Canis lupus familiaris: one gene and its partners. The protein of the gene in region 1 interacts with the protein of each later gene in a pairwise test. Links are inferred from orthologs where the notes say so. Each region holds a gene or a part of one and is shown on either strand. Other genes may lie near its edges.

Region 1 (5,120 bases):
TGGTTCCCCCAGTCTCATTAACCACCCTCCTTAACCAGCTCCAATTGTGATTCTGTAGGTCTCTTTCCAAAGTGGTTGGCTTCCCCAGAGCTAGAACCAGAGCCACCAATGGCAGTATCTGGTCCCCTTGCCCCTGCCATAGCCAGGACCCTGGGAAGGGTCATAGGAGTAAAAAAAAGCAGATCTCAGGATTATTGGGTGCTCAGTGTGTTTCTGTGTGGGAGTCATTCATGGTCTTCTGTTATGATGACAGGGAGGGCCATGTTAATATCTGTTTCAGAAGCCAGCGGCTAGGGTCTGTCTGACCCTTTCATCTGATTGATGGAGAACCCCTACCTGCCCAAGAATGTGTGCAAAATATTCTCTCTTTGATGCTTCCACCAGTGCTTTGGCATTTTCACCTGGTAATCTCACCAAGGAGTCAGTGTTAGTTTCAGAGACAATCTGGAAGCTAAATACTTGAATATCATAAAATACTTAAGCAATCACAATTGTTTGCGAGCCATTGAGATTTTGAAAGCTCTATGTTGGAAGCTGTTCTTCTGTAGTAAAAGTCCTTTCTCCCCAAAAGTTTTATTCTTCCTCAGTAGCTAATGTTTGCATTAAATTATTATGCTTATTTTGTTCTTAATGGTGAAAAATGCCACAATTGGAAAAGAGAAAAATAGCATTTGCTTGTATGCTTAAGGAGCTGAGTTTTCAATCCCAGCAACAATTAGAATTTATTTTTCTTGAGGCAGAGTATGCAGTTCTACAGTGTGTTTGTAAATGTGGTGAAACCTGGGGTCCCGTTGCTTAATTTTATCCTTCTGTACAAATCTAATTGACCATGTATTTCTAATTCCCATTATAGAAAGTGTGACGGGACGCCTGGGTGGCTCAGCAATTGAGTGTTTGCCTTTGACTTGGGCATGATCCTGGGGTCTGGGATCAAGTCCCACATTGGGCTCCTGCAGAGAGCCTGCTTCTCCCTCTGCTTATGTCTCTGCCTCTTTCTCTCTGTGTCTCATGAGTACATAAATAAAATATTTTTTTAAAAATAGAAAGTGTGATGTGCTTGGCCCTTGGGAAAGGTTTCTGAGGGTTTTGATGTCAGAGACCTAAAACTTTCTCTGAGTTTCACCCACTGTCTTGCAGACCTTTTAAAAACGTTACGGAGTATGATGGGCAGGATGCCTGTGGCTCCAACAGCTGGAATATGGTAGATGTGGACCTCCCTCCCAACAAGGACGTTGAGCCTGGCATTTTACTGCACGGACTGAAGCCCTGGACGCAGTATGCGGTTTATGTCAAGGCGGTGACCCTCACCATGGTGGAGAATGACCACATCCGTGGGGCTAAGAGTGAAATCTTGTACATTCGCACCAATGCTTCAGGTATCTGCACACCGCCCATCCCATATTCAAGCTCACCATGCTTGCTTATGACAAGTGTAGGCAGAGGGCCAGCAACACATGTGCCTGTTGTTTCTCTTGAACCTGGACCAGTCTGCTTTTTATGTATCTTTCTTACCAATAACTAATGCTCTGTCATACTATTTTTCTCAGTCCCAATACCCTGGGCTCTCCTGGGCCATTTTCTGACCCATCTCCTATCATCTGTCTGCCCTGCACCAGTGAGCCCAGGTCCTCCAGGAGGCTGGGGTGGTTTTTTTCGGAGGACCCCTCCAGGATACAGCCCCCTGTTTTATTTTCATAGCTGAACCTCCAGGAACTGAAAACATGCTAAGTTCGTGTCCCATTTACCTCATGTGGCTACTTGGTTTTCCATCTTCATTCTGTAGGGACCGGGTCCCACGAAGGTAGACAGAATTTGGAAATGTCAGACAGAGTATGTATGTTGTGGACATTCCAGATATTCACTGGTAAAAGTGTTCCTCTTTCTGTCTCTGTCTTCATTTTCTAAACCACCTCATTTTTCTCAACCCCAGAGTCTGGAACTAATGAAAGCAAACGTTTCTGTGTATTAGCTAAGTATATGAAAACCAGCTTAGAGGTAGGAAAATCCACATCATTTCTAAAGACAATGATAAATATCCTTGGATGATAGGGGTTTTTAAAGAATACCCTTAAGGTAGCACAAAACAAGTTTAAATGGTGGAGAGGGTAAAGAAAAAGTGTTTATGGGGAAAACCTTTGGCTCCTGCATGCCTGCTTCTTCCTCCCTTCCTCCATCTCAGGGATCCCATAAGTGGTCACAATCATGTCACAGATCCTAAAGTGTTTATAGAAGTAAATCTGGCACAGGCTTCTGATCCTGGATGTGGGTAGTATAGCAGAGGCTCAAAGGCAACAAAACAAGTTATGCTTCCTAAGGTTTGGAAGTAAATTATTGTTGCCAGCTCAGGAAAAATACGAATCTTTCCTTTTTATGACAAATTCTTTTCTTTCTTTTTTTTTTTTTTTCTTTTTTTTTAAGATCCATTCAGGGGCACCTGGGTGGCTCAGTGGTTGAGTGTCTGCCTTTGGCTCAGGTTGTGATCCCAAGGTCCTGGGATTAAGTCCCATATCAGGCTCCATGCTGGAAGCCTGCTTCTTCCTCTGCCTGTGTCTCTGCCTCTCTCTTTGTGTCTCTCAGGAATAAATAAATAAAGTCTTTAAAAATAATAAAATAAAGATTAATTCATTTACTTTAGAGAGAGAGTGAGCTGAGGGAGAGGGACAGAGAGGGAGAGAGAGAGTCCTCAAGCAGACTCCCCACCAAACAGAGCCCAATGTGGGGCTCGATCTCAGGATCCTGAGACCATGACCTGAGCTAAAATCCAGAGTCAGCTGCCCAACTGACTAAGCCACTCAAGTGCCCCTTATTATATGATGAATTCTTAAACCCATTTCCCTTCCCCAAAGATGGAAAACTAAGCACCATACAAATTGGGCCAGTTCCCTACATTTTGGCCCCTGTCCTTTCAAGTGGCAGAAAGAGAGGAAGGCCCAGTAAGTCCTCTGCTTCAGCTTTTTTGTGATACTTAGACTTGAAACATCGAGGGGTACGCTATTTATTCTTGAGATATTGACTTTGGAAATCTGAAAGTGGCCGAGCATCCCGTGGTTGTTTTTCCTGAAAAATCTGGCATTAGTCACAACTTCTTCCTAAAGCATCACTCCAAACAGGTGTTCAGAATCTTGTGTATGATATTATGGGCCTTAAAGTACCCTCAAGCTCTTTGCCCTTTGAAATTTTAAAAGTGGCTTGGATGGCCATGTTGTGTAAGTGATCTACAGTAAAGAGGTCTCTTTACTCTTTACTTTGGAAAACCCATGAAAATCAGTGTTTTCTTGTGAACCCAAGGAAAATACGATTTCGCTGGTCCTGAGATGTGATTGCCCTTTATACATAAGGCAGCTCTGGGTTTGGGTTTGGGAGGCAGTAGTACATAAAACTTGACCAGATTATTATGCTTTATCTGTAAATCAGTATTCTTTGGCTGCTAACAGAGTCTATTGCTTGCAGCCAAGGCTCTGTGTATGCTTGGGTTTGTGGACTGCTTTTCCTAGTCCTGCCTCATTCATTCTGTGAATGAATGAGGGGATCATGACCTGAGCCAAAGGCAGATGCTCAACCACTGAACCACCTAAGTGCCCCTAAATTAATACGATTTCAAAGAAAGATTTACTTGTCATCTCATGGATCTATGTTCACTGTGTCCTCACCCAGGTCATGCCTGTGGCTTCTTGTTGGTTTGCTATGACTACCTGCCAGCCTGGGTTTTGGGTTCATTCCATGTTCTGAAATGTCCTCTGTTGCTCTCTCCAGTTCCTTCCATTCCCCTGGATGTTCTTTCTGCATCAAACTCCTCTTCTCAGCTCATTGTGAAGTGGAACCCACCCTCTCTGCCCAACGGTAACCTCAGTTACTACATCGTGAGGTGGCAGCGGCAGCCCCAGGACAGTTACCTTTACCGCCACAACTACTGCTCCAAAGGTGAGTGGGAGGGATAGAAGCGAGGGGGCTTGGGACCAAACCCCAGCATCCGAATGGATCCAGGCCCCAATGTAACATGCGGCCCCTTGTCAGAACTCGGCTACATTCTCCACTGAGTGTGCTGGTGGCGACCCCTTTTCCTCCCCAGCACATACAACCTATTGATTTCTATTCCTGCTGGGCTTGTCTTTCCTGAGTAGATAAAATCCCCATCAGGAAGTATGCTGATGGCACTATCGATGTCGAAGAGGTGACAGAGAATCCCAAGACCGAAGTATGTGGTGGAGAGAAGGGGCCTTGCTGTGCCTGCCCCAAAACTGAGGCCGAGAAGCAGGCTGAGAAGGAGGAGGCCGAGTACCGCAAAGTGTTCGAGAATTTCCTGCACAACTCCATCTTCGTGCCCAGGTACCACTGCCATTTGAGAACATCTCCAGGCTGCTAGTCCTCAGGCAGGTTCCGTTGCTTTGTCCCCACTCAGGGGGGTTTATAGGTCAGCAGCCTCCTGGCAGAACCTATGGCCATCAGGGGAAGGACCAACAAAACAAGGTATCAGCTTGGTTGAGTGAGGTAGGGGCTGTGGAAGCCGGTTAGCCCTGACGGAGGGGCCGCCCCAGCCACACAGCCTCCCGCAGAGGCAGGTGGGCTCTCAGCTGTGGGGACAGGTAAGTGAAACTTGGAGAGGCTCACACCCTCAGACACCAGTGAATGGAGGGCCCTTTCTGTCCATCGCACCACTCTTCCCTGCTGCCTCTCAAAGCCAGGCTGAGAAGTGAAGCCAGAGTGAGTTTTGTAAGTGCCCCAACCTCCAAGCACAACCAGGTGCCACAGGCATCCCTGACACACACGTTTGAGGAGCAGCGTAGAGGACAGCCTTTCAGGGTAAAGCGGTCTCTGTCCCCAGGAATCCATCTGCTCCCCTGCCCCAGTCCCCGTTTCCACTAAGTGAGGACAAAAATGGAGGAAGGTAAATATGCAAAGCCGCACTATTCACAGTAGCCAAAGCTGGGAGCAACCCACGTGTCCATCAGTAGATGAATGGATAGGCAAAATATGATCTATCCACGCAATGGAATATTACCCAACCATGGAAAGGAATGAGATTCTGACAAGGGGCACAACTTGGATGGACCTTGAAAACATTATGCTAAGTGAAAGAAGCCAGACACAAAAGGAGCAGATATTATAGGATTCCACACATA
Region 2 (4,416 bases), on another chromosome or scaffold:
GGATGAGCAACCTGAAGCTGGCTAACCCAGCTGGGGAGCCAGGAAGGGCCTCTAAGGATGGGGAGGGGACTGGAGGGGCCGCCGTGCTGGACTCAGCCCCCCTGCCCCTCCTCCAGGACATGAACAAGCTGAGTGGAGGAGGCGGGCGCAGGACGCGGGTGGAAGGGGGCCAGCTGGGGGGCGAGGAGTGGACCCGCCACGGGAGCTTCGTCAATAAGCCCACACGGGGCTGGCTACATCCCAACGACAAAGTCATGGGACCTGGGGTTTCCTACTTGGTTCGGGTGAGTGAATGTCTCCCATTCGGTCCTCCCTGCTCCCTCCCAGACTCCTTCCTCTGCTCACTCCAGCTTTGCCGAGCTGGGAGCCTCTCGTTTTCTGCTCTTGCCGGTACCTCCCTTGGTTTCAGGATCGCTTCTCACACCTCTCTCTTCCCCTTTCTTATTCTGCGGCCCCTCCCATCCAGCTCTGCCTGGGCCCCTTACTTCTGGTGACTCCCCCACCCTGCCATGCTTAGCACAAAGCCCAGCACGTTGCCACCCTTAGTAAGTGTGGGAATGAGCGGTCCTGATTGTATCCTCCAGCCTCCTCCCTCTGGGGATGTCACCTTCCCCACCCCCCACCCCAGTGCCCATCACTGTCCTCGAGATCCTCTTCCCAGATGTCCAGGCCCTCCTGGCTTGCTCGATCCTCCGCCCCTCATTTCCTGTGGTCTGGCACATTGTGGGTGTAGCCGCAGGCTGTGGGCAAAACTTGGTCTTCACTCTTCAGAGTCAGCCTTTTGGCTAAGATCAAGTGTAGGAAGCACTCAGGGGAAAGGCCTGGGACTCTTTTTGTGGAGGGGGTGCTGACTCGTTACCTTCCTTTCCTCCTTTCAGTACATGGGCTGTGTGGAGGTCCTGCAGTCAATGCGTGCCTTGGACTTCAACACCCGCACCCAAGTCACCAGGTTAGTGGGGAGGGGGCAGACTGGGGATTCCTGAATTAATGAGGGGAGAGGGGGTACATAGGGGAGTGGGCTCCTGGATCAGTGAGTATAGGAGGGAGTGGGTCTTGGTCACTTGCTAGTGATGGCTTACCTTCAGGGATAAAGGATTGAGAGAAAGTTAGGGGAATCAGTCTAAGTCTGAATGAAAAGCAGCACCTCTCTGGTCTGGGACCTTCTTATTTATCCAGTCCTGTGTATGGTGGGAGAGGTGGCAGAGGCAGCTGGCAGCTGGAGCCTGAGTATAAAATGGGGTGGATGGAAGATTGCTGCTGCCTTTGGGATGGAATGGGACATTTGGTCGCTGGAAGTAGGTGGGGCCAGACTCACAGAGGCCCTAACCCAATCAGCCAGGAAGTGGCCTCTCCGTGTCATCAAATATTAAAGGCCTTTAATTCAATCCACCATGACAAAGAGCCTGGAGTGCCCCTGAAGTCTGGCCTGGTCTTCCCCTCCCCCTGCCCTGTGGCAGCCCCAGCTGAGTGGGAGGCAGGCTGTGGGTCTGAGGACCCCTTTCTCTCCAGGGAGGCCATCAGTCTGGTGTGTGAGGCTGTGCCCGGTGCCAAGGGGGCTACAAGAAGGAGAAAGGTACCTGGGGCTGATGGGGCTGGGGGCACTGCTGGGAAATGTGGAGGAGCAGGGGGAAGATAAGTCTGGGACCTGTGGGGGGAAGGCCAAAAGGCGGAGGGAGGGGGATTCGTGGTGTGGGGAGCCCCCAACTTCTGAGACTCTGGGCCCTTCCCTAGCCCTGTAGCCGCCCACTCAGTGCCATCCTGGGGAGGAGTAATCTGAAATTTGCGGGAATGCCAATCACTCTCACCGTCTCCACCAGCAGCCTCAACCTTATGGCCGCAGACTGCAAACAGGTTGGTGGGGTTGGGCAAGGGGGCCAGAAACACTGCTGGGAGAGCGGAGCGGGGACCTGGCCACAGGGCCAGGAGCTAAGACAGGAAGGAAGGAGGAGCATAGGAGGACCTGGGCTAAGAAGCCAAAAGGGTGGGACTGACACTCCAGGGCTCCGGGCCCGGGCTGGGGGTGCCCAGGAAGGCCCCAAGGCTGCCTGACCTGTGTTATTCCCTTCCTTCTCTGTACCCTGCCCTAACCCTCAGATCATCGCCAACCACCACATGCAGTCTATCTCCTTTGCGTCCGGTGGGGACCCGGTGAGTTGGGGAACAGGGTGGAGGTGGGGGAGGAGTAGGGGCCATGCTGTCTGGAAAGAGGGTGTGCTGGGGTCCAAGTGGTGTCTGGAAAGGACCAGGATGTGTAGGGGTCAGGAATGAGGTGGGCTGGAAACTGGAGCTAAGTGGCTTCTTCTGACCCTGCCCACCCCAGGACACAGCTGAGTACGTCGCCTATGTTGCCAAAGACCCGGTGAATCAGAGAGGTGAGGCGTGGTGGGGAGCGCTGGGTGGGGCCGGCTGTCCGTGAGGCAGGTGAGCAGGACCTGGGTAGCTAAGTAGGGCTTCGGCTGGGAAGATGAGGCCCCTGACCGCGCCTCCTCCCAGCAGTCCACCAGAACTCACTGACTGCCTTTACTGTGCCCCCAGCCTGTCATATCCTGGAATGTCCCGAAGGGCTTGCTCAGGATGTCATCAGCACCATCGGCCAGGCCTTCGAGTTGCGCTTCAAACAATACCTCAGGAACCCGCCCAAGCTGGTCACCCCTCATGACAGGTGAGCGGGTGCGCAGGGTATGGGCAGCTCCTAGGCACTAGCTGGAACTGAGAAAGCAGGTCTGCTCCACTGCCCACGCTTGAGCTCAGAGAGGGTCAGGGGGAAATAACCTGTGTGCCTGTTTCCCACTTCCTGCTATTCTTACGTTTCCTGTGGCCGTCAGGAAAGTCTGGCCAGGTCCTGCCTGCTTCTGCAGGCCCGCTCTTCCTCTCGTATGCCAGGCCACCGTGCTGCTGCTCTGCCCTTCTGTCCTCAGCCACCTCACTGCTGGCCTGTCTCTCTTTCTTGACCATTTCTCCGTCCTTATTTTTTCACTTTCTTGCCCATAGAGCCATCAGGAATTTGGGTGAGGGAGGGTGTCTTTTTTCCTGAGATCTCGACCTTTCTTTCCCACCTTAGATCAGTAGCTACTGAGTATTTAGAGGAGGTTAAAATATTCTGGAGTGCATCCCTTCTTTCTACTGTGTGCTTCCCCTTCCTCTTGGGAGATAGCATAATAACTGAGAACATGAACTTTAAATCAAATCTGATGTTACCATTCAGGTCTGCCACCGTTTAATTGTGAAACAATAAGCAAACGTCTCCACCTCTGCTCCTCATCTCACCTGTATCACTGGAGAAGGGGGTATAGATACCTTGCAGGGCTGCCAGGGGGATAGAATGCCTGTGTGTAGGAAACGCCCAGACTCAGGCCCACCCTGCAGGAAGTACCCAGTCCATGGCCACTGTCTGTGCCCCCTTGTTCCCTCCTGTCCCTCTCAGGATGGCTGGTTTTGACGGCTCAGCTTGGGATGAGGAGGAGGAAGAGCCACCTGACCACCAGTACTATAATGACTTCCCGGGGAAGGAGCCCCCTCTTGGGGGAGTGGTGGACATGAGGCTTCGGGAAGCAGCCCCCCTGGGGGCTGTTCGGCCCACCCCACACGTTGTCCAGACCCCCAGCCACCTGGGAGCAACGCTGGTAAGTTATTTGGATGGAGGTGGGCTGGGCCTGGGATGGGAGTGGCCAATTTGGGCTTCTGGTCTCATTTCATTTTTGTTTCTGCAGCCTGTGGGGCAGCCTGTTGGGGGAGACCCAGAAATTCGCAAACAGATGCCACCTCCACCACCCTGCCCAGGTGTGAAGGGAGCTGGGAAGGGCAGAGTCAGGGGTGTGGAGGCAGGGCTGGGGTCACGGTGATGCCTCTGTTTCCTTATCAGGTAAAGAGCTCTTTGATGATCCATCCTACGTCAATGTCCAGAACCTAGACAGGGCCCGGCAAGCAGGGGGTGGGGCTGGGCCCCCCAATCCTGCCATCAATGGCAGCGTGCCCCGAGATCTCTTTGATATGAGTGAGTGCTTCTCTCTCCACTCTGCATCTCTGTCTTCCTACTCCCTGGGTTCCTCCCCTTGTGTCCTGCTCTTTCCTTCCCGGCCTCCCCTCCCTGAAAGTTTGGGTCTGGGTGTGTGTTGTGCCAGTTGCCTCTCAGGCCTCTCTCTGAACCCCCAGAGCCCTTCGAAGATGCGCTTCGGGTGCCTCCACCTCCCCAGGCGGTGGCCATGGCTGAGCAGCTCCGAGGGGAGCCCTGGTTCCATGGGAAGCTGAGCCGGCGGGAGGCCGAGGCCCTGCTGCAGCTCAATGGGGACTTCCTGGTGCGGGAGAGCACGACCACACCCGGCCAGTACGTGCTCACTGGCTTGCAGAGTGGGCAGCCCAAGCACCTGCTGCTGGTGGACCCGGAGGGTGTGGTGAGTGTATCAGGAGTTGGGGGGG
Region 3 (5,144 bases), on another chromosome or scaffold:
GAGACATGACTCTCAGCCCAGCGCTGGAGGGGAGAGCAGCCAGGGGGGGCTCTCTTCCTCTCCAGGCTCTTGGTCATGGACACCTGGGTGCAGGGAACATGGAGCTTGTGTGGCCCTCACTATACATCTTGAACTAGTTCAACAAATGTTCTTAGATTATTCTTTCTCACAGGGAAGTCCTGAGGGAGACACAAGTGGAGAAGCTGGGGACAGAGGGCAGGAGGAGCTGGCCTTGGCTTCCACCAGTCAAGGGGGCAGTGTGGTCCCTTAAGGCAGGTGGGAGTCCTCACCATACAGGCCTACAATCAGGTTTTGGTTAGCCCAATCATTTTTTGGTATATGAAATAGTCGCTATAGTTTCAAATTTTAGAGATGGCACATCAAAATCTCTCTCCAACTTCTGGAGTCAGAGGCTTGCACTGCCTACGCTAGATGGGAGTGAGCTCATCTCTCTCCAGCTGGGGCACCCTCCTGCTCACTCACTGCTGCCCTGGAGGTGCCGTCCACCCTCTGATGGGGCCCCTCCCCTTGGGCCCTGGTACCTCCCTACGTCCTTGCAGCCAGGCTCATGCCAGCCCCTCTGGCCTCCAGGAGATGCTGGCCATTATGAAGTCCATCTATGACATGATGGGCCGCCACACCTACCCTATCCTGCGGGAGGACGCACCTCTGGAGCACGTGGAGAGGTTCTTCCAGGTGAGAGCTCTAGCCCCGGACTTGAGGGGAAGGGCAGATAGAGGAGGGAGGGGGTCCTCCTCTTAGGACAACCCTGCAAGCCACTCCCCTCTGTGAGCCCCCATCCTGCCATGAGGAGGTTAAACTTGCATCCCCTACCTTGGTCAGGATCCCAGTGAGCAAATGAAAACATCATCCCCACTCCCCAATCCACTGAACCTCATCTCAGGGCAGACCAGGGCTTATGGATTCAATGGGGCTGACACACCAGGCCAGTGTTCTGGTGCCTTCCAAGAGCCCTCCCAGCTCCTCCAGAAAAACAATGCAAGAGGATTGGGGTTGGGAGTAACCTTGCTCTGTGTCCAGGGGGATGAAAGGGACTAAAGTTTCCACCTCCCATGTACTGGTGGCCCCATCTGCCCTGGCTGCCTGTCAGGGAGATGAGGGGGTCAGAGGAGCATGGGGATGCATTCTGGTAAGTGTAAGCCCAAGGAAGCTGCTGGGAAATGGCTGGGTGTGGGGATCAGGCTGGGGAGATGGCAGAGAGGTCAGCTGTGCCACAACAGGTAGCTGAGGAGGGCACTTTATATGGCCTGGATCCAGAGTACAAGCCAGAGGGGACAAGTTGGGATGGAGCAGACCCAGAGACTCACTGAGGGCTTGGCTTGGGTTACAGAAAATGGACCGGAATCAAGATGGGGTGGTGACCATTGATGAATTCCTGGAGACCTGTCAGAAGGTAGGTGGCATTAGGGGTTGAGGATACCCAGGGTCCCCTGCCAGTCCCCAAACCCCTCCTAACCTCCAAACTCCATGTTTGCACTTTCCTCTGAGCCCATCCCATTGCCACCAGCTCCTGCCAGCCCTCAGTCCAAGGGCATGCCATTCCTCAGACTGCCCCATAATGCCTCACATCAGAGGGGACAGACATGGGCCAATGGGAGGATGATGGGCCCTGTGGCCCTCAGTACAGGGTCACACTGTGATCAAGGTGCCTGGAGGATCCCCCAGCATTGCCATGGATCTTCCTGTTCAGAGCACCCTTGGGGCGTGTGACCTTGTGCCTCCACTGGCCTTAGCCACCAGCATCACTCCCAGATTGGCCTCTCAGGTATCTCTGGCCTCCATCTGAGTGCAGCCAGGGAAATGTGTCCATCAGCAAGTCAGCAGCCCCTAGATGGGCTTGCAGTCAGACTCTGGGGCTGAAGACAGGCTGGGCCTGACCAGCTGCCCCTTCACTCAGTGAGACAGAGTGATCACTGTAGGGTTCCGAGTCCCCGGCAAGAATCTGCTCAAGGTAGGAGCAATTTGGGCACTGCTCTGCCCTGTCCACCCAGGGTCTGACCAGGCCTCTCATCCCCCTTCTCTCTCCACACAGGATGAGAACATCATGAGCTCCATGCAGCTGTTTGAGAACGTCATCTAGGACATGTCGGTGGGGAGGGGTCCTTGGGTGGCCACTGCCACCTCTGCCCCCAAAGAAATCTCAGTCCTGCCAGGAGCAGCCTCCATGAGAAACTTTTTTTCTAATATATTTGCAAAACGTGAACAGTTTCCTCTAGACACACACACACACATACACACACAGCCCATTCCTTTGGGCTGGTAGAGGGGGTGCAGAGGTCAGGGAGGGACTGAGTCTGGCTGGGAGTTGGATCCAGGTGATGGGAGCCAGACTACCCCAGCCAGCCCCTGTCCAGGCCAGGGGGGTGGGGCTGCCTCTGGAGGGGGCACTGAAACAGCAGTGTTTGCAGGCTGCTGGCCATGGGGTGCTGTCAGGAAGGAGCTCAAGATCCCCTACAGCAGAGGGTCCGGTCTCCAAAATAAAGGCCCCTCTGGTGTGTGTCCCCTTGCCCCTCCCTCCTACTACCCTTCCTTCTCACCACACATGGGCCAAGTTCTGGGAACTACTCTGGCCTTCTTGTCCTTTAACCACTCCCTGCCCACTGATTGCACTCCCAGGACTTCACCACAGGACAAGGGGGGACAGGCAGCGGGATCAAGAGAATTGGGACTAGGAGAGAGAGGTAGTAATGGAGACAGCCTGCTGTTTCCTGGAAATGCTTCCTTGGATTCCCAGGAATTGCCTGCCACTCCACTGGCAAGCCCCAGTGGTAAGGGGCCACTGGACACTTCTCTCCATCCTGGGAAGGGGGCCTTTCAAGCTCAGGGATTGGGTTTCTTGGTGGAGAATCAGGGGGACTGTCTGCCAAGTCCACTGAAATGGAAGAAGCCTTCCCTTGCCCTAGGCCTAGCTCAGTGGGAATGAAGTGGGTGGGGCCACCGTACCCCTCTGGCACTAGAGTGTTCGACCCCAAGGTCATTATAGGTTCTAAGAAGAGGTCACAAGGCTCAGGGACTGGCAGCCAGGGAGCCCAGGTGGCAGAGCAGGCCTCCTTTCTGAGCAGCTCATCTTCCGCGGCCCCCCACTACCACTTCCTGGTTAGGGTCCTCTAGCAGTGTGGTCACCCTCTCTACACAGCTCATCCAACCCCATACACAAAGCACAAGCACCCAGAGCAGCTCAGGTGGCAGCCCACAATGCAAGCCAAGGACACTTGTTCCAAGATCAGGCCCTCCTAGCGGGCTGAGGCCTGGGTTGCGATGGCCCCGATGCAGGTAGCTCTGGGCAGGAAGCATGGGGTCAGTTCTGTACCTCAGAGCAGTGCGGGCTCGAAGCCCGTCCCCAGCCCAGCCCGGCCCAGCTCACCAACATTCAAAAGCACAAACCGTAGGGACTCTCCCTGTCTGGGTTCTGCTCTGGGGATGGAGGCTGATGTCAGCCTGAAGGCAGAGCCAAGAGTGAGAACTGAGGGGCCTGAGGCAGAGTGGTAGGTCGACAGAAACCTCCAGGAAAGAGAGAGAGGCTGCTCTCATTGGCTCAGGCCTCCCCAAGAAGGAACCCAGTACCCCCCTGGTAGCGTGGGCCTTTCTGAGGAACATTCCCGTACAATACATTCCACCGGCTGCCACCCCCTCTCTGCTCAGGCCTGGCCCAAGGGTGAGCAGGGCCCTCAAAGGAAAGGTGGAATGGTGGAGGCCATGGCAATTGGCCTGGTTTGTCCACGGGGACCCCTTGGCATCCACACCACACAGGTGGCCCTCTCCCTCAGAGTTGTACTGACACCCCATCTCCAGTTTGACTGGGGTGGAGGAGTCTTTCTTCCCTCCTCCAGGAGGGCATCAGCTTTCCCTGGCTCAGGGATCTTCTCCCCCTCCGCCCACCCCTAGGCCCTCCCAGCTGGTGTAGCTGTGCTTCTAAGGGGCCGAGGCCATAGGAGAGTGTCACCACCATGCCCCTGCCCCCTCTTGGCCTTGGGCCAGACTGGCTGCACGTACAAGCAGGAGGGGTCTGTCTCCCACACTGGGATGCGGACTGGCCGCATGTCTGCATGGCAGAAGCGTCTCCCTTGGGTGCAGCCTGGGAAGGTGGTTCCTGTTCTCAGCGCCCACCAATATTCAGTCCTGTATATTTTAATAAAATAAACTTGACAAAGAAGAGGGACTCTTGTTGGCTTTATCCCAACTCTGGATTTCAGTCCAGCCCCTCCTATCCCTGCTGCTATTAGCCATGGCTCCTGCCCAGGGTGATGCTCGTAAATGTTTAACATTCCCTGAATTGTAGCATTGCCAATTTCCATGCTCATTTTATTTCAAGCTCCCACTGTGATGTCACTGAAGGTGGAGCCAGGAAGAGATGCCCACAGTTGGGAAGCCTTTACCAGAAGCTCCAGCCCTGCAACCTCTGCAAAGCCAGTGGAGCAGGCTGACTTTTTGAGGTGCCATTTGTATTTCATTCCCAGACCATTTTTTTTTTTCCAGTTCCAAGAAGTCCTTTCTGCTGTGTCCCCTTGGCTGGAGGGTGCAGGTTACAGGGCAGAAGCAGAATCTGCCTGAAGACATCTTTTTTTTCCTGGCTTTATTTTCAAAAGTGTAAACTCAGTGAGAGTTTATGCTAGGGGAGGAGTAAGAAATGAGAACCTGGCAGGGAGGAGAGGAAGGGGTTTTCCCAACTCAAGGATGGGGAGGAGGGAAGTTCCGGGGGGATCTGCAGTGCTTTAAGGACCAGACCCCATGCCATGTGACATCACCTCCACAGTGAACACAGACCCAAGCCTCCATGAGTCACCAGGTTTGGCTGATAGGGCATCTCAGCAGTAGTTGGGAGGACAGATGACAGGAATCCACTTCCACCACCACACACACCAAAGTCTGCCACTCCACTTGTGCCCCAGGGGCTTGGCACAATCCAGGTAAGGAAGCCCTGAACTTACTGTCCAGGATGGGATATCCTGCATTTGCCACGGGCTAACCACCATGCTGAGCATGTTCACTTTGTCACAGCCTAAAGGGCACAGATGGGAAAGCTGAGTTAAAAGATATTAGGACCGCTCAGTCATTGAAGAATGGAACCAAGCAGGTAGCTCTAGGCTGGGTTTAAGCACTGAATTGCCTACTTCATGATGGTC
Region 4 (3,867 bases), on another chromosome or scaffold:
TAGTTCTGCATCATCATTTTTAAGGCCTTACGTGGCATTCCATTGTATGGCTGTACTTTAATCAACCCCTTGTGGATGGTCAAAGAGATTTTTAACAGAAGAATGCAGGCATCTGTTGTTAGGACCTGGGCTGAAAAACCACTTAAAAGCTTTGGATGGAAATTATGTTTTTTTTTAAATCTTCAAAATTATTTAGATGTGGTAGTGTGTCTTGAATCTCAAACATAGTTTTAACATCTTATAAGTAATATTTCCAGATTCTTAACAGAATGTGAATCATTTTTTAGGAGCTGTTGGACAAATATCTTATTCCCAATGCTACACAACCAGAAAGCAAGGTGTTCTACTTGAAAATGAAAGGAGATTATTTTAGATATCTTTCGGAGGTGGCATCTGGAGATAATAAACAAAGTAAGTAACTTTTTTTTTTTTTTCTTTTTTAAGAAATTTGACCAATAGTGGAGCCAGTCCTCCTTCATAATCATTTTAAACAGTTTTTGCTTTGGTCAGCATACTCATGAACATCATAGTACTGAGAATTTAAAAGACCATAGCATTATGCTGACCTGTGATTAATAGGGTCATGGGAGTTGACAACAATGTATCTAAGGGGAAAGTGCAGAGGGCATTAAAAGTGTGGTATAGTAGTGCATTTAAAGAGATCTTTTTCGGGGATCCCTGGGTGGCGCAGTGGTTTGGCGCCTGCCTTTGGCCCGGGGCGCGATCCTGGAGACCCGGGATCGAGTCCCACGTCGGGCTCCCGGTGAATGGAGCCTGCTTCTCCCTCTGCTTGTGTCTCTGCCTCTCTCTCTCTCTCTGTGTGACTATCATAAATAAATTTAAAAAAAAGATTCTTTAAAAAAAATAAAGAGATCTTTTTCTTAAAAAAAAAAAAAAAAGATCTTGAGAATTATTTGGTATCTCTCTTTTCAGAAATAAAACTAAAATGTCTGATACTATAAAACCACCATAGTAAATAGCAATGCATTTCTTTTATCACGTGCATTTTGTGATGGTAATAACTATAGGTCTGCTTTATTTAGTGCCTACTGTGTGCCAAGTATTTTAGAGTCTCATTTGTTCCTTACACAACTCTAGGAGTTCCAGTGAGGATCTGCCAGTTTTTCTGATGAGGAAACCAAGGCTCACAGGGTTTTTACTTATTCAAGCCCGAGCCCCACATTGAGTGAATGAGTTAGGAATTCAAGTTTGGGTCTGTTGACTCTCTCAAGTCATGATTCTTCTACTGGAGCATATTGTTTCCCATGTTCTATCTTGTTAAAGTTTATTTCTTTTTTTTTTTTTAATAAGATTTTGTTTATTTATTAATGAGAGATACAGAGAGAGAGAGAGTGGCAGAGACGCAGGCAGAGGGAGAAGCAGGCTCCATGCAGGGATCCCGGGTCTCCAGGATCAGGCCCTGGGCTGAAGGCGGCACTAAACTGCTGAGCTACCTGGGCTGCCCATATTTCTGTATTTCTTAAAAACTGCTTTAGTATACTTTGTCATACTTGTTGCTTTCCCCCAAAGCATTTAATGTAGTAGTTGGCTTAGAATAAACATTTAACAAATGATTATTAATCAGATGATGGAGACACTGATCCTTCATTAGTATCACTCCTCATTCCTGCCTGGTATGGTAAAATAACTGGATTGTGGTCCAGCATGTGATGCATCTAGGTAAAAACTCCCTTTTAATGTTCTTGTCTTTCTTATAGCCACTGTGTCGAACTCCCAGCAGGCTTACCAGGAAGCATTTGAAATTAGTAAGAAAGAAATGCAGCCTACACATCCAATTCGACTTGGCCTGGCACTGAATTTCTCCGTCTTCTACTATGAGATTCTAAATTCTCCTGAAAAGGCTTGCAGCCTGGCAAAAACGGTGAGAAAGACCTTCTGGTCATAGTAAAACACTGCTCATTTTTTAGTAACTTCTTATTATTACCTGAATTTAACAACTCCCTGTCTTAGACTTCTCATAAAATTTTAGTGTAAGTTTAAAATATAATCTAAAAAGGTACAGCTTTTTAGAAAAAGGGTACAAGATGTTCTGGAGATAGGAATAGATCTTTTGTGAAAGTAATATGGACCTGTCACTTTTTTATTTCTTCTCAATACACCCTGCTGATTTTTGTTTGTTTTCATTGTGTAATTACTGGTGGTTGTAGAAAATTCAGGGGGAAGGTAGCGTATTGTTTCTTGTCAAACTTTGGGCTCTGTAAGCCTCCATTATGTATTGTATTCCTTGTGGCAAGATTTGATGTTTCAGCTACGCAAATGAAAGAAGTCAGACCAGGTTTTAGTCTTTCAGCATGCATACTGTTATTTAACAATTTTTTTAATTTGGAGAAAGTAGATGAAATGAATTTTCTAAGGTCCATCACTTAATTGAATCAGATTTAGTGGTATGAACTTCTGTTCTCCCTTTATTCCTTATATCCAGACCTTTTGAGGTTTAGTAAAGAAACAAAGGATTACCAATAGTATCTTTGGCCATTAGAAAATGATGTGAATTTGTGCTGGGTTGACAGTAATGCCTGCCGTCTTCATCGCATACAATCCAGTTCTTACCTGGTAATTTGTGTCAGTGTTGGTCAGTGCTTTATAAACATACATTACCTGTTTGCTTATACAGCCAGCAGACAAGGTCATAATAGTTCAGCTCCCATACAGGAAAAGAAATTATATTCGTTAACAGAAAAAAAACTAGGCTAAACTAGCTCCAGAGAACCTGTGACAGCTCTATTAAAGGCTCTTTGTTTTAGGCTTTTGATGAAGCAATTGCTGAATTGGATACACTGAATGAAGAGTCTTACAAAGACAGCACCCTGATCATGCAGTTGCTTAGGGACAATCTCACTGTAAGTACTGCTGGTTTACACGACTGCTTCTGGAGGGCTTATATAGTCTTGTACCTACTCACTGATCTAAGAATTCACTGTTCCCCAAGACTTGAGGGAATATGTACCCTGTAAGTAGAGTTAAAAGTATTAAGTTGTTAAATTGGTTATAAATGACTGCTAAAGTTTTGCCCTTTGCAGTCCTCACTGGCTGCAGTAATACAGGAAGAATTTTAATGCAGTTAAGCGCAAGACAAGGTGGCCCAGATTGGGTCTACCTCCCTGAGTGAATGTTAGTAGCCCTATTTTTGATTATAGCTCTGTTTTTCTCTTGCAGCTGTGGACGTCGGAAAACCAGGGAGATGAAGGAGATGCTGGGGAGGGAGAGAACTAATGTCTGTTGTACTTCGTGATCTGTTCAGTGTCACTCTGTACCCTCCACATATATCCCTTTGTGCGATGATAAAAAAAAAAAAAAAAAAAAAAAGAGTCGTACGTCGACTTTCAATTTTTCACAGCCTCAGCCTAGCAAAATGGTCCACGGGATAAACAGCTGGTGTTTGTATCTAAAACTCAGATTGGTCACATAAATGCCACGGCATTCTGAAGTTTTGGTTTTGATTAACATTGACAGGATTACTGTGTGTTGAATTTTTTTTTAAACTGAACACTGTGATTATGGGGTTTTGTAACTTCGCAGAACTCTTACTGGTAGAAAAAAATAGATCTGAATTATGTGTAACTTTTTGGAAAGTTTAATCTGATATCAAACTAGTCACTGAAATAACAGTTCCATTGTAAAGTTGTACAGAAAGCTATAGAGATTATATTGTGAAGCTGGGACGCAGAGTGAGACACCTGTCCTGTGACATTCAAGTGTGACAGTAACTCACAGTCATTCTGCCTGTTTGGGAGGGATTACAGACACTTGGCCAGTTTGGGCTGTTGCCACTCAAAAGTTCATGACTGCAGATGTCCAGTGTCTTCCTCCGAGTAAACTTGAAGCCTGAAGTAGCCTGAACTCTTT

The links.
Region 2: the proteins of IGF1R (region 1) and SHC1 interact in a two-hybrid assay, tested with the Homo sapiens proteins (4 studies listed by BioGRID and IntAct). The link is inferred for Canis lupus familiaris from reciprocal best matches to the Homo sapiens genes IGF1R and SHC1.
Region 3: the proteins of IGF1R (region 1) and KCNIP3 interact in binary tests that used the Homo sapiens proteins (3 or more experiments, as listed by UniProt). The two-hybrid records come from large-scale screens. The link is inferred for Canis lupus familiaris from reciprocal best matches to the Homo sapiens genes IGF1R and KCNIP3.
Region 4: the proteins of IGF1R (region 1) and YWHAB interact in a two-hybrid assay, tested with the Homo sapiens proteins (2 studies listed by IntAct). The link is inferred for Canis lupus familiaris from reciprocal best matches to the Homo sapiens genes IGF1R and YWHAB.

The regions. Positions count from the first base shown.
Region 1 is NC_049224.1:42,430,239-42,435,358, forward strand, and holds part of IGF1R (insulin-like growth factor 1 receptor), read left to right. Parts: intron 1-1,137; coding exon 1,138-1,376; intron 1,377-3,753; coding exon 3,754-3,921; intron 3,922-4,121; coding exon 4,122-4,326; intron 4,327-5,120. UniProt on the Homo sapiens protein: Receptor tyrosine kinase which mediates actions of insulin-like growth factor 1 (IGF1). Binds IGF1 with high affinity and IGF2 and insulin (INS) with a lower affinity. The activated IGF1R is involved in cell growth and survival control.
Region 2 is NC_049228.1:42,490,403-42,494,818, forward strand, and holds part of SHC1 (SHC-transforming protein 1), read left to right. Parts: coding exon 1-284; intron 285-878; coding exon 879-949; intron 950-1,509; coding exon 1,510-1,573; intron 1,574-1,731; coding exon 1,732-1,851; intron 1,852-2,094; coding exon 2,095-2,148; intron 2,149-2,320; coding exon 2,321-2,372; intron 2,373-2,535; coding exon 2,536-2,662; intron 2,663-3,424; coding exon 3,425-3,623; intron 3,624-3,710; coding exon 3,711-3,780; intron 3,781-3,862; coding exon 3,863-3,994; intron 3,995-4,152; coding exon 4,153-4,391; intron 4,392-4,416. UniProt on the Homo sapiens protein: Signaling adapter that couples activated growth factor receptors to signaling pathways. Participates in a signaling cascade initiated by activated KIT and KITLG/SCF.
Region 3 is NC_049238.1:34,902,274-34,907,417, reverse strand, and holds the end of KCNIP3 (calsenilin), read left to right. Parts: intron 1-591; coding exon 592-696; intron 697-1,351; coding exon 1,352-1,414; intron 1,415-2,053; coding exon 2,054-2,101; 3' UTR 2,102-4,176; downstream 4,177-5,144. UniProt on the Homo sapiens protein: Calcium-dependent transcriptional repressor that binds to the DRE element of genes including PDYN and FOS. Affinity for DNA is reduced upon binding to calcium and enhanced by binding to magnesium. Seems to be involved in nociception.
Region 4 is NC_049245.1:32,949,723-32,953,589, forward strand, and holds part of YWHAB (14-3-3 protein beta/alpha), read left to right. Parts: intron 1-287; coding exon 288-411; intron 412-1,718; coding exon 1,719-1,882; intron 1,883-2,765; coding exon 2,766-2,861; intron 2,862-3,177; coding exon 3,178-3,234; 3' UTR 3,235-3,867. UniProt on the Homo sapiens protein: Adapter protein implicated in the regulation of a large spectrum of both general and specialized signaling pathways. Binds to a large number of partners, usually by recognition of a phosphoserine or phosphothreonine motif.